3 linked regions of the Arabidopsis thaliana genome follow. The protein of the gene in region 3 purifies or fractionates together with the protein of the main gene of each other region. This does not show direct contact. Each region holds a gene or a part of one and is shown on either strand. Other genes may lie near its edges.

Evidence for each region.
Region 1: the proteins of PIP1B (region 3) and AT5G27850 purify together in Arabidopsis thaliana (affinity purification with mass spectrometry, with the first as the bait; one large-scale study listed by BioGRID). This does not show direct contact.
Region 2: the proteins of PIP1B (region 3) and SHM4 purify together in Arabidopsis thaliana (affinity purification with mass spectrometry, with the first as the bait; one large-scale study listed by BioGRID). This does not show direct contact.

What each region holds. Positions count from the first base shown.
Region 1 is NC_003076.8:9,870,922-9,874,679, reverse strand, and holds the start of AT5G27850 (Ribosomal protein L18e/L15 superfamily protein), read right to left. Parts: upstream 1,614-3,758; 5' UTR 1,512-1,613; coding exon 1,509-1,511; exon of another isoform or gene 1,343-1,508; coding exon 1,253-1,342; intron 1,160-1,252; coding exon 1,031-1,159; intron 810-1,030; coding exon 627-809; intron 542-626; coding exon 383-541; 3' UTR 1-382.
Region 2 is NC_003075.7:8,048,518-8,052,275, forward strand, and holds the start of SHM4 (serine hydroxymethyltransferase 4), read right to left. Parts: upstream 1,641-3,758; 5' UTR 1,505-1,640; coding exon 827-1,504; intron 418-826; coding exon 27-417; intron 1-26. UniProt on the Arabidopsis thaliana protein: Catalyzes the interconversion of serine and glycine with the conversion of tetrahydrofolate (THF) into 5,10-methylene-THF.
Region 3 is NC_003071.7:18,908,517-18,912,274, reverse strand, and holds PIP1B (plasma membrane intrinsic protein 1B), read right to left. Parts: upstream 1,981-3,758; 5' UTR 1,826-1,980; coding exon 1,498-1,825; intron 1,273-1,497; coding exon 977-1,272; intron 897-976; coding exon 752-896; coding exon of another isoform or gene 696-751; exon of another isoform or gene 668-695; coding exon 531-667; 3' UTR 293-530; downstream 1-292.

The sequences.
Region 1 (3,758 bases), on a different chromosome or scaffold from region 3:
TATGATTATGGATATACGATTTTTGCTAGAACCTAATAGACAACGAATTAGGTGGGTTAGTACGAAACAGAACATTTTTCAGGGTTGTTTACACATTTTAATACTCATGTACAGATATTTTATTTCCAAGGAAGAGAAATACAAAACGAAATAGACCATAATGATACTATGAACTCCAAATACTGATCAAATCCAAATTCTAGATAAAATCTCATTGCAGCTAATAGTAGTAAGATTAAAAGACAAAGCAAAATATCCAATTGTCTTGAGAATAGAAAAACAGAACTTAAAACAAAGTCTGGAACAGGGTAAAGAGGAACCAGCGTTCCCTACCAAAACTTCGATACTTAAACCAAGCAAAACGAAACCAGAAAACATCTTCTTAGACCTTGAATCCACGACTCTTTCGCTTTCCTCTAGCTTTCTCAAACTTCCTTCCCTTATGCCTAACATATGGCTTAGTGTTACTGTGTGGCACACCAGGAGCAGGTCCGAAATGCTTCACTGCTTCACGCGAGTTCTTTGGTCCTCTAAGAAGAACCTGTCACAACATATCAAACACAGCTCAGTTTCATATATAAACTTGAATTATCCTAAACATTCAGATAGTGTAAAATTTTACTTACTGTGTTCTGTCCCAATGGAGCTCTGAGAGCAAGCTGGTCAAAGGTTAAGCACTCTCCACCAGCTTTCTCAATTCTAGCCCTAGCCCTCTCAGTAAACCTCAAGGCAGTAACCTTCATGGCAGGAATCTCATGAACTCTCAAATCATCAGTGATAGTTCCAACCAACACAGCAATCTTGTCATCCTAATAAATAGACAAACCACAACATTTGAGTACTCTAACCATCACTGAATAGTAAGATACAAAATCAAGTTTGTACATTTGTTCTCACATACTAACATAACAGGACAACGTCAAAACTCATAACTTCACAGAATGAAAATAAAATAAATGGGGTTCCAAATTAAGACCAAGGACAGACTCAAGATGTATATAAAGAGAGATGGGTCTCAAAAAGATCGAACCTTGCCAGTCATGAACTCTACAAGCCTAGAGAGTGAAAGAGGAGCTTTGTTGACTTTGCTCATGAAAAGCCTTTTCAGAATCACAGCATTGAAGTTGCTGTTAGATCTCCTCACCAAAAACCGGTAAAGCTACAAAATTTATCAAAAACACAAACAAATCTCAATAAACCAAAATGTAACAGACAGAGAAACATAAGTAAAAGACATGTCAATATTTGTTACCTTGACGAGAAGCTTTAGGTAGACATCATCGGACTTAGGAGCAGTCCTTTTGGTCTTCTTACTCTTACCTCCTGCGATAAGATCGATACCCTAAAATAACAACAACGATAAAACACTCAAATGCAAATCCATAACGAAACATCAGAAACCTAAGGAACCATTACACGCTAAACCAACTAGATCAAGCTCGCAAACGGAGAATTCATTTTGTAATACATAAGAAACGGAGATTGAGAGGCGGAGATCAAGAATTTACCATGGCTGCGTCTGCGAGAGGAAAACGAAGTTAGGGTTTATGAATTTATAGGAGCAACAAGCAAGCTCGCTTACATTTTAGGTTTTTATGGGCTTTATCTTCGCTTTAGGCTATTTGGGCCCAAACTAGAAGCCCATTTGTTTCACATCCTTCGGCTTCGGTTATATGATTTTGTTGAGATCAAAATCAATATTTTACTCTTTCTTTTTATGGTAAGACAAATAAATTTTTTATTCAAGTATATTAAGTGTAGATTATTGTCTTCAGAAAAAATAAAACTGTATATCTCAATTATGAGGATTCACGATTAGAGAACGTAGAATAATGGTATTATTTTGATCAGTGTTATAAACCGGATAAGTATGGATGTCATTATCCATCATTCATCTCTATCCATAAGATATGGATGATGTTTATCCATTATTTCTTCCTTAAGATATAGATGATGTTTATCCATTATTTCCTTCTTAAAATATGGATGATGTTTATCCATTACTTCATCTTTAAGATATGGATGATGTTTATCCATTACTATTCTCTAAGTAATTTACTTCCTAGCTAAGTAAGCTCTACTATATATAACTCATTTCATTCATTTATAAGATATAGAGAAAACAGAGAAAAAGAGAAGAGAAAGAGAAAGCAATAAGAAAACTCTTGTTTCGAGTTTTATTCTCTCTAGTCTTCATTCTTATTTCTTAATTTAATCTTTTATGACAATCAGAAGGTTTTTGTAATGCATTATTGCTAAAGTTTTATACAAAAATTAGGATCTTGTTTGCCAGCTAAAAAAAACTAATAGATGATGTTCATAGATACAATAAAATGGTGCAATCGGTTTTAACATGACATAATAATTGATATGTTCTTACTTCCATAATTTTTAGTTTGCTTTACAGTTTTGTATTTATAAGATTTTACTACATACAAATTATTAATAATTATTGTTTGTTTTGTTGATGTGAACTTTCATCCAATAAAGTTAAGAGAGAGATGATTTGATATTTCTTTTTTGTACAAGATGTGTATGTAATGACGTTAGTTACTTCATTGTAATTAAAGTTTGTTAAAATTGACTACAAAACATAAAGAATTATTTTACACTTGTGAGTAAACAAAATCCTATAGAATTATTTTCTTACTTTTTGTTTTATCAGCAAAAGCATAAGATAATTAACTTAAATACTTTTTGAAGTTTTAGAGTATAAATGTAGTAACAAAATATTAAACATAATGAATAAGAGTTTACTTAGAAATATAGAATTAATATTTTTTATTTCGTTTAGATTTTTTTCTTTTTCCTTCCAATATTATTATCAATGCAAATGTTTTACATCATTGTATACAAACGGCTATAAAAACCTAGGACATATTCGATATAACTCAAAGTTTGTATTACTCTTGGTAGCTGTCTTGACCAAGACATCAGCATAGACGTTGTTTTCTTGATGTCGGAATTTGAACTCGATGAAGTTAAAAGCTTTACGCCATTGATGTATGAAATCAAGATAATGTCGTAATCTTGGATTGGGCTCTATGCTATTGATGATACTAGTAACAGTGACGCTGTCACCCTCGAATATTACCTTCCTATAACCAAGTCCCTATGCGCATTGTATAGCCCAAATGAGTGCAGTACATTCTCCTTCTTCAATTGTTTGGCGTCCTTGAAATTTCCCCATTCCGCAGTCCATACATGTGCCGTGTGAATTCCTGATGATCCAGCCAAGACCCGCGGTTATCTTTCCTTCATAGTGAGAGACATCGTAGTTACACTTGACCCATCCTACTGGAGGCTTTTGCCAATTAGCCTTTCTCGATGTAGATGATAGTTGGTCTCGGGTATTTCTTTCTGGGGGTCGCATGTTATCTAGCCATTCCTTTGTGTCGAGGGACGCTTGTTTGACTATATCAGTTGTATCCTTTGCTCTTTTGTTGAAGACTAAATCATTTCGGCTCTTCCAAATACGCCACATTAGCCAAAATGGTAAAAGTCGTCCGGTTGTCTCAACCTTTGTATCCTCATGCAACGTTAATAAATAGCGGACTTTATTCTTCATTGTCTCGTCTGGGCTCAAAGTACATGTGTGGGAATTCCTGAAGCTCTCCATATTTGTTTCACCTGTGGACATGTGAACATTGCATGATTATTTGTTTCTACCTCATTGCAGCATCGTGGACAATATGGGTTGACATTAATGTTTCGTCGTCTTAAATTTTCAGAGATCCCAATTGCTTTGGATGAAAAAA
Region 2 (3,758 bases), on a different chromosome or scaffold from region 3:
TTTTCTCTGAGATATAATTCACTCACCGGTCAATCCAAGAGGGCGAAGATCCCAGAGAACAAGGTGGTTCTCAGTTCCATTGGTCACAATCTGGTAACCCTTGCTCATTAGGTAGTTTCCAAGGGCAACAGCATTGGCTTTCACTTGTTTTGCGTAGACCTTGAACCCAGGAGTATTAGCCTGCTTCAACGCAACAGCTAGAGCACCAATCTGGTGATTGTGAGGACCACCTTGAAGCGCAGGGAATACAGCAAAGTTGATTTTGTCCTCAAAATCATAGACTGCACCCTCGGGTTGACCCTTCTTTGGTGGTTTTGGACCCTTCCTGTAGAAAATCATACCAGCCCTTGGACCCCTCAAACTCTTGTGGGTTGTGGTTGTCACAACGTCACAGTACTCAAATGGGTTTGCAGCTTCCTGTAAATATGATTAAAACTCAATCAGTTCTGTCGGTGAATGCAAAAAAAAAAAAAAAAAACTCAATCTTGGCAAGTAACATTAGAGTAATCCCCAAACTTCATCAGGCTAATAGGTTGGTTTTAGTTACTGAAAAGAATTGAATCTCATCCTGTGTTCACTTAAACATTCTTATAGGAGTTAAACTATAAACTAGGAGACTAAAATGAGACGGCACAAGTAAAATCAAACGACTTTAACAATGTGATATGATTCGTTCTTGGGAAGAAGAACATTTGATAACCCTGAAAACACTAGACTTGACACAATGAATGCAGATCTTCGTTCTAAACAATTCATAATGCTAAAACAAAACCAGATCTACATGAAACACAATATCAATACAAATGAGAATAGGCTTATAATATACCTGAGCAGCAACGAGACCACTGATGTGAGCCATGTCACAAAGCAAAAGAGCTCCAACCTTATCAGCAATAGCTCTAAATCTAGCGTAATCCCAATCCCTAGGATACGCACTACCACCACAGATAAGCAACTTAGGCCTGAAATCCAACGCCTTCTCTTCAAGCTTATCGTAATCAATGTAACCAGTGGTGAAATTCACCTTATACGGAAGACTCTCAAAGTAGATCGAAGTCGCAGAGATCTTCTTACCACCAGATGTATAGTAACCATGAGTCAAATGACCACCTGAAGGCAAATCAAGCCCCATGATACGATCGTGAGGCTGAAGCAAAGCCGTGTAAGCAGCGAAATTTGCCGGAGATCCAGAATACGGCTGAACATTAACGCCCCACGCTGCTGGATCACAATGGAAAGCTTCGAGAGCTCTTGAACGGCAAAGATTCTCGATCTCATCGATGAATTCGTTACCTCCGTAATAACGATTACCAGGAATACCTTCGGAGTATTTGTTGGTTAAGGCACTTCCGAGAGCTTCGATGACGGCGAAGGAAGTGAAATTCTCGGAAGCGATAAGTTCGATTCCTCGACATTGCCGACGTTTCTCCTTCTCGATTAGGTCGTGGATCTCTGGATCTACGGAGACGAGAGAGGTGTTACCCCATGAAGAGACTGGTTCCATCTTCTTTGTAGATTGTTGAATGGATCTGAGATCGGAGAAAGAGGGAGGGAGAGATCTGAGATCAGAGAGTGAGAAGTGGGAAGAGAGGCGGTTGGGTTTAAAAGAGGAGTAGAAAATGGGGTAAATTACGGATTTGTCCTCCTTTGCTAATTTTGGTGTTAGTTGGTTAGGTGTGTGTGGTAGGAGAACAAGCTTAGTGTGTTTTGACTATTTTACCCTCTTACCAATATTTGTTTCCCTTAATTAATTATGATTAGATGGATACTTAAGGCCCAATTGCATTTAAGGTTGTGTTGGGTAAATCTCTCTCTCGGATTATTTTTATTTTTTTGACATCAGAAATTGAATTTGTTGGTAGAAAATAAAAAGTAATTACAAACAAAAATATAATCTATTGATTCCAAAAAAAAAAAAAAAACTGTATAAATCCCTATAAATCGGAGGAATTAAAATTGGAAAAAGGGCTTTGAGGGCCCATGATCTTGATTCAGCCCAGTGTTTTAGATAGGAGTAATTACATTTTAATAAGAAACTCTATAGTTTTTCATAGTTTAACCTTTCAAAACTCAAATGGTCGTACATCTGGTGTAAATAAGATGTATTATGTGTTAACAATGCAAAGGTAATTAAACCAACGTCAACATTGTCGACCACAAAATTTTCATCTATGTTGTGAAGATTTCAACAATTTATCCGCTTCAATATTATGTGATTAACCCCTTAAATGTTAATAATGTATTTTTTAAAGCTTTTTCACAAAGGAAGTATTCACGATGAATTTAAACATATGAATTTTGCGGATAAAAATAGTCTCTCACATATCTCCAAGCTAAATAAAACTTTATACGGTCTTAAACGAAACACTTGAAAACGGATAACGCAAAATTAAAATTGTATTTTCATAGTAATCTGATTTTAAAGTTACTTGCGGATGAATCTTAGTTCATATTCATCAATCATCACTAAGAATCACGAAGTCACCGTACCCTCTATATGACTATATCCTTGTTTATGTTTACGTTATAATTTTCAATGACAACTCATCATATGTGTAACCGTACCCTCTATAAGACTATATCCTTGTTTATGTTTATGTTATAATTTCAGTGACAACTCATCATATGTGTAACTACAGCATCACTTTGCCTCACTATTCATTATCCCAACATTATAAGAAATTGGTGGTCTTTGCTTAGCATCCTGACTAGATCACTTAATCGATACCATATCCAAATTAACATCACATTATAGTTAGAGAACATATCCAACTCTTTCGCCCATTTTGCTTATGTTGAAAATGCCAAATGAAATGTGTACAAATTGTTATTTTTCGATACTCTCAGTTTCTAATGAGAAAAAATAAGTTTGTTATTCCACTAAAGTCTTAGATATTCTCTGTCACAAATTTTATAATTTAGCATATGAAAAGAGCCATTAAACACACATTTTTATAAACAAGAAATAGTTGGTAGCCTCCCTTTGAAACCTTTTTTCGTGGACATACTAATTAACTAACTACACGATTGAGGAGTTGTTATGGTTAACAAATTTATTTATTATTATTGCATCGTGCCCTCGGTTGATCAAAGAATATTAAGTATTTAATATTTGCTAGAGAATGGCATGATCATGGGGTTTGGAGAGGAGAGTAGGTGGTTTTGTATGCATGTGAGTCGGTGAGGGTCAAAATCGTCTTTTCAATTTAAGATTTGATTATGTGGTCATTAAATAGTAACGTAGTGCCTAGTGGTATTGGCAGATCTGAGGTCAACATGTGATGTGACGAAGATCTTCATTTTCTTCGTAAACACACAGAATACTGAAGTTAGAAAAATGTCTTTTTCAGGTAATATTTACTCAGTAAAGAAAAAAGGCTGGTAAAAGTAAACTTTTAAGTTTGAACGTTAAAGTCAATTTAATAGTGTTTATTTATTTATTCGACATGTAGAAAATTAAACGATCTACGTAAAATATGAATACAAAAATATTAAATATTAGAATAAAGTGAGAGTATGTGTAAATCACGTTTTGGTGAATTTTTTCCATGTGGTAGAATAATAGAGGAGGACTTTTGTTGTAAAGTAAGCTTCACCAACCTCGATTTTTAGACCTGTATAATTGGAAACCCACCTACCTCCGCAAATACAACGAAAAGTATTGTCTTATAATACTTTCTTAATTAAATAACAATTCTTTTGGAGTCATATCATATATATACTCCTATTGTGGTGTCGACATGGTGACATACTACATA
Region 3 (3,758 bases):
TATTCTAAAGGTTTCATTCTAAGCTTAAAGAATGTCACATTGTTTGGAAATCTGTTCGCGATGGCCACATTTTATTTGTATCATTGTATGATAATCCTTAGAATAATCGAATAGCTCTATGTTTAACAATTGTTTCTTACAAATCATTTTCCAGGTTTTGAAATTGCCATTTAATCTTACCCGTTGTCAATTCCTAGTTTTATTTATAGGAGTCGTTTTCTTGAATTTGAGCCAATTTTGTCAGATAACATTTGGCATGAATGATTCACTTGTAATGGCACTATTCTTTTGTAGCAGATTATAACATAAATGCATTAAATATGTCTGGTCCACTTTGATTCAAGATAAGTTGCCTGCTTGAGATAAACCCAGAATGGGCCAATTATAGAAATCCTCTGATAAAATGGAGAAGAAAGATAACAGATGTTTCTGGGGCATGTCTTTGTTTTACATAAGTCTCCATTAGGCAAAGAAGAGGACAACAGATACACACGTTACACACAGGTAGTAGATTCACAAAAGAAAGCAAACTAAGAACAAAAGCCAGATTTTAAATAGAACTCAATCAGCTTTAGCTTCTGGACTTGAATGGGATGGCTCTGATGACTATAACGTGGTAGAGAGCAGCAAGTGCAGCACCAATGAATGGTCCAACCCAAAAGACCCACTGAGAGAAGAAGATACAGCTAGATTAGTTATCCGATAATTGAAACCTTACTCTGAATTGTAAATTTGGTGAGAAGTGAAACACTCACGTGGTCATCCCAAGCGTTGTCCTTGTTGAAGATGATTGCAGCTCCAAGACTTCTTGCTGGGTTGATTCCAGTTCCAGTAATGGGGATGGTTGCTAAGTGAACCAAGAACACAGCGAATCCGATAGGGAGCGGTGCTAGAATCTGTCAAAATTTCAAAACCAATTAAGCATTTTGATCCGATGTTACAAAAACCAAAATCCATCCTTTATTGATAAACTTACAGGAACATGAGAGTCACGAGCGTTTCTCTTGGCATCAGTGGCAGAGAAGACGGTGTAAACAAGGACAAAGGTTCCAATAATCTCAGCTCCAAGACCACTTCCTTTGGTGTAGCCATGAGCTATGGTGTTGGCTCCACCTCCCAAAGCCTGGTATTGCTTTGGCTGGAACCCCTTGACCACACCAGCTCCACAGATAGCTCCTAAGCACTGCATCACTATGTAGTACACAGCTCGTGTGAGCGAAAGCTTCCTAGCTAAGAACAAACCGAACGTAACCGCTGGGTTGATGTGTCCACCTGAAAGGTCATAACATACACAAACACAGATTAAAACATCTGCAAATCAAATGATTCCAAGCAGAACAAAGCTGGAACTAACATCAAAGTCCCCCATTTACTGAGTTTGTAAACCCTAATTTGTTCCTGATTGAATCCTAAACATGCTAAGATTTGAATTACGCTACCTAGCTAACACAGGATCTATATTCGAAATCGTTAGATCGGAGAAACCAGTGAACTTACCGGAGATACCAGCGGTGCAGTAGACGAGAGCGAAGATCATACCACCGAAAGCCCAAGCGATACCTTGGATTCCGACGGAAGCACACATGTTCGGTGACCTCTTCACACCCATAACAGTCAAAACAGTGATGTACAGGAACAAAAACGTAGCTATAAACTCAGCAATCCCAGCTCTCCAGAAGGACCATGAAGCTAGCTCGCCGGGCTCGAACAACGGCGCAGGTGGTGGCTCTTTGTAGTCCTTGTCACTCTGAGCCGAAGTTCCGATCGGTTGCCTCTCCGGAAACTTGTTAGCTCCGACTCTAACATCTTCTTCTTTACCTTCCATCTCTCTCTCTCTTTCTCTCTAGAGCTTTCTAGGTTTTTCTGTGAGTGGGTTATGTGTTGCAGAGAAGCAGAGAGAGTGGTGGCTTTTTATAGTGACCGAAACTCAAGGTTGGAAGATGATGGAAACAAAATTAAAACATAAACAAGATGATAGTTAATTAGTTAACTTAATTGCATGATAGTATAATTAACGTTATCATCTTTGCTGCTGCTGAATACTGATAATGCTTGTTATTGATTAATGATAATTAAAGTATGTGGACAGAGTTTCAAATCCCGCTTTGCAACTATTTTCTTTACTCTAATCAAATGTCGTTATTGTACCCTAATAAAATAAATAAAATTGTGGACATTTTTTAACGTTTAAATGTAGATTATGACAGGTAAGAAAATACAGAAAATCATATTAAAAAAGCAGTTGAATATGTGGTCGAGATGAACCGCCGGTTAAGTTGGACCGCTGTCAGGATAAGCACATGGACTCACCGCACCTAAAAGACATAGGGACACCTCATTTAACAAATTATCTACAACATTTTCTTACTTAAATACTTTATAACATTGCTAATTTTAGTTATGAGTGATAATTTTACATGCTCCATTCCCAACAATTACTTTATTTTATAGCATTGCTTTCTTACTTTTAATTCTCCAACAATTTTAGTTATTATTAGTGTCGAGTGAGACGAATAAAAAAACTAATGACTTTATATCCTTTTATTAATCAAAAAAGAAATGAGATTCTTCTTTGTGTTCTGTTCTTTTTGTTATCATCTTCACTATTTTTATCCATGACAATATTTTTTTATTATGAAATCATCTATAGATCAATCAAGCATGACAGCCGAATTTTGTTTGTCTATAATGCAACTTTAATGTACCAACTACACCAAGTATTGATCAATAAATTGCCTATATGCAAAATCAAACGCCATGTACCATCCACATGCATATTCATTTGCATATATATACCAAGTAGTTTCACCATGAATGTGTAAAATAAATGCATGATGAATAGTGGGTTTTAATGAGGTTAAAGAAGAAGATTGGATAGTGTAATATTCGGCAGCAATCCACTATTTGCCAAAAAGGAAAGACAACGTTTAAGCCAAAAGAAAGAAAAAAAGGACTAAACAATTATGGTTGCTTCGTTGCTTTGTTGTCTTTTTGGGTGTAACACTATGTCCTACCCACGTGCTGTTTTCTTCTAGTCCCATTACCAAATTTCGTTATGTTCTATCGCTTGCCTTCTTTTATTACCGTCCAAGCTCTCATATGGACCAAATTTGATCTGACCATGCACCAAATTTCCCTGGTAAATTCCCTCTTTAAACGGTGTATAGTGCAGAAGTTATGTTATCGCCTTTCCCGTGTCCCAAACCATGTACATGCTCCATAATGAAGTTAAACTCACATCCATAATGAAATTATTTATTGAACGGCCTATATTTATTTTGGTATGAGTTTGATCTTGATTAGTAAATTCTGTCGATATTAGAATAGTCTTTTATATTTTGCAATTTTTTTGGCCATTCACACAATTCTGAAAAGTTCATTTACAATTCAATACCATTTTGTCATGTATTCACAAAAAAAAAAGGGAATAAAATAAACCTATGTTACAATTCCATTCAACCTATGTATCTAATTTCAACTACTGGTGTTCCATTATAGTACTATCAATCAAAATCAGGATTGCTACTTTTCCAAATCCTTTTAGTATTTCTTGGTTTTTTAAGCAATGGCTTTTAGCTTTTTGTGAAGGGAAAAAAAGGGGGAGGTTGTAATATATTTGGACTTTGGTATGAGAATAAAATATTCCACGATTCCAAGCCGTCCAATCCATGGATAAGAGGACACGTGGCATAAACTTACGTATACAAAAACCGACCAAGCCACCCAAACACTTGTCACCTTCAGCCAAATAGTAAAAT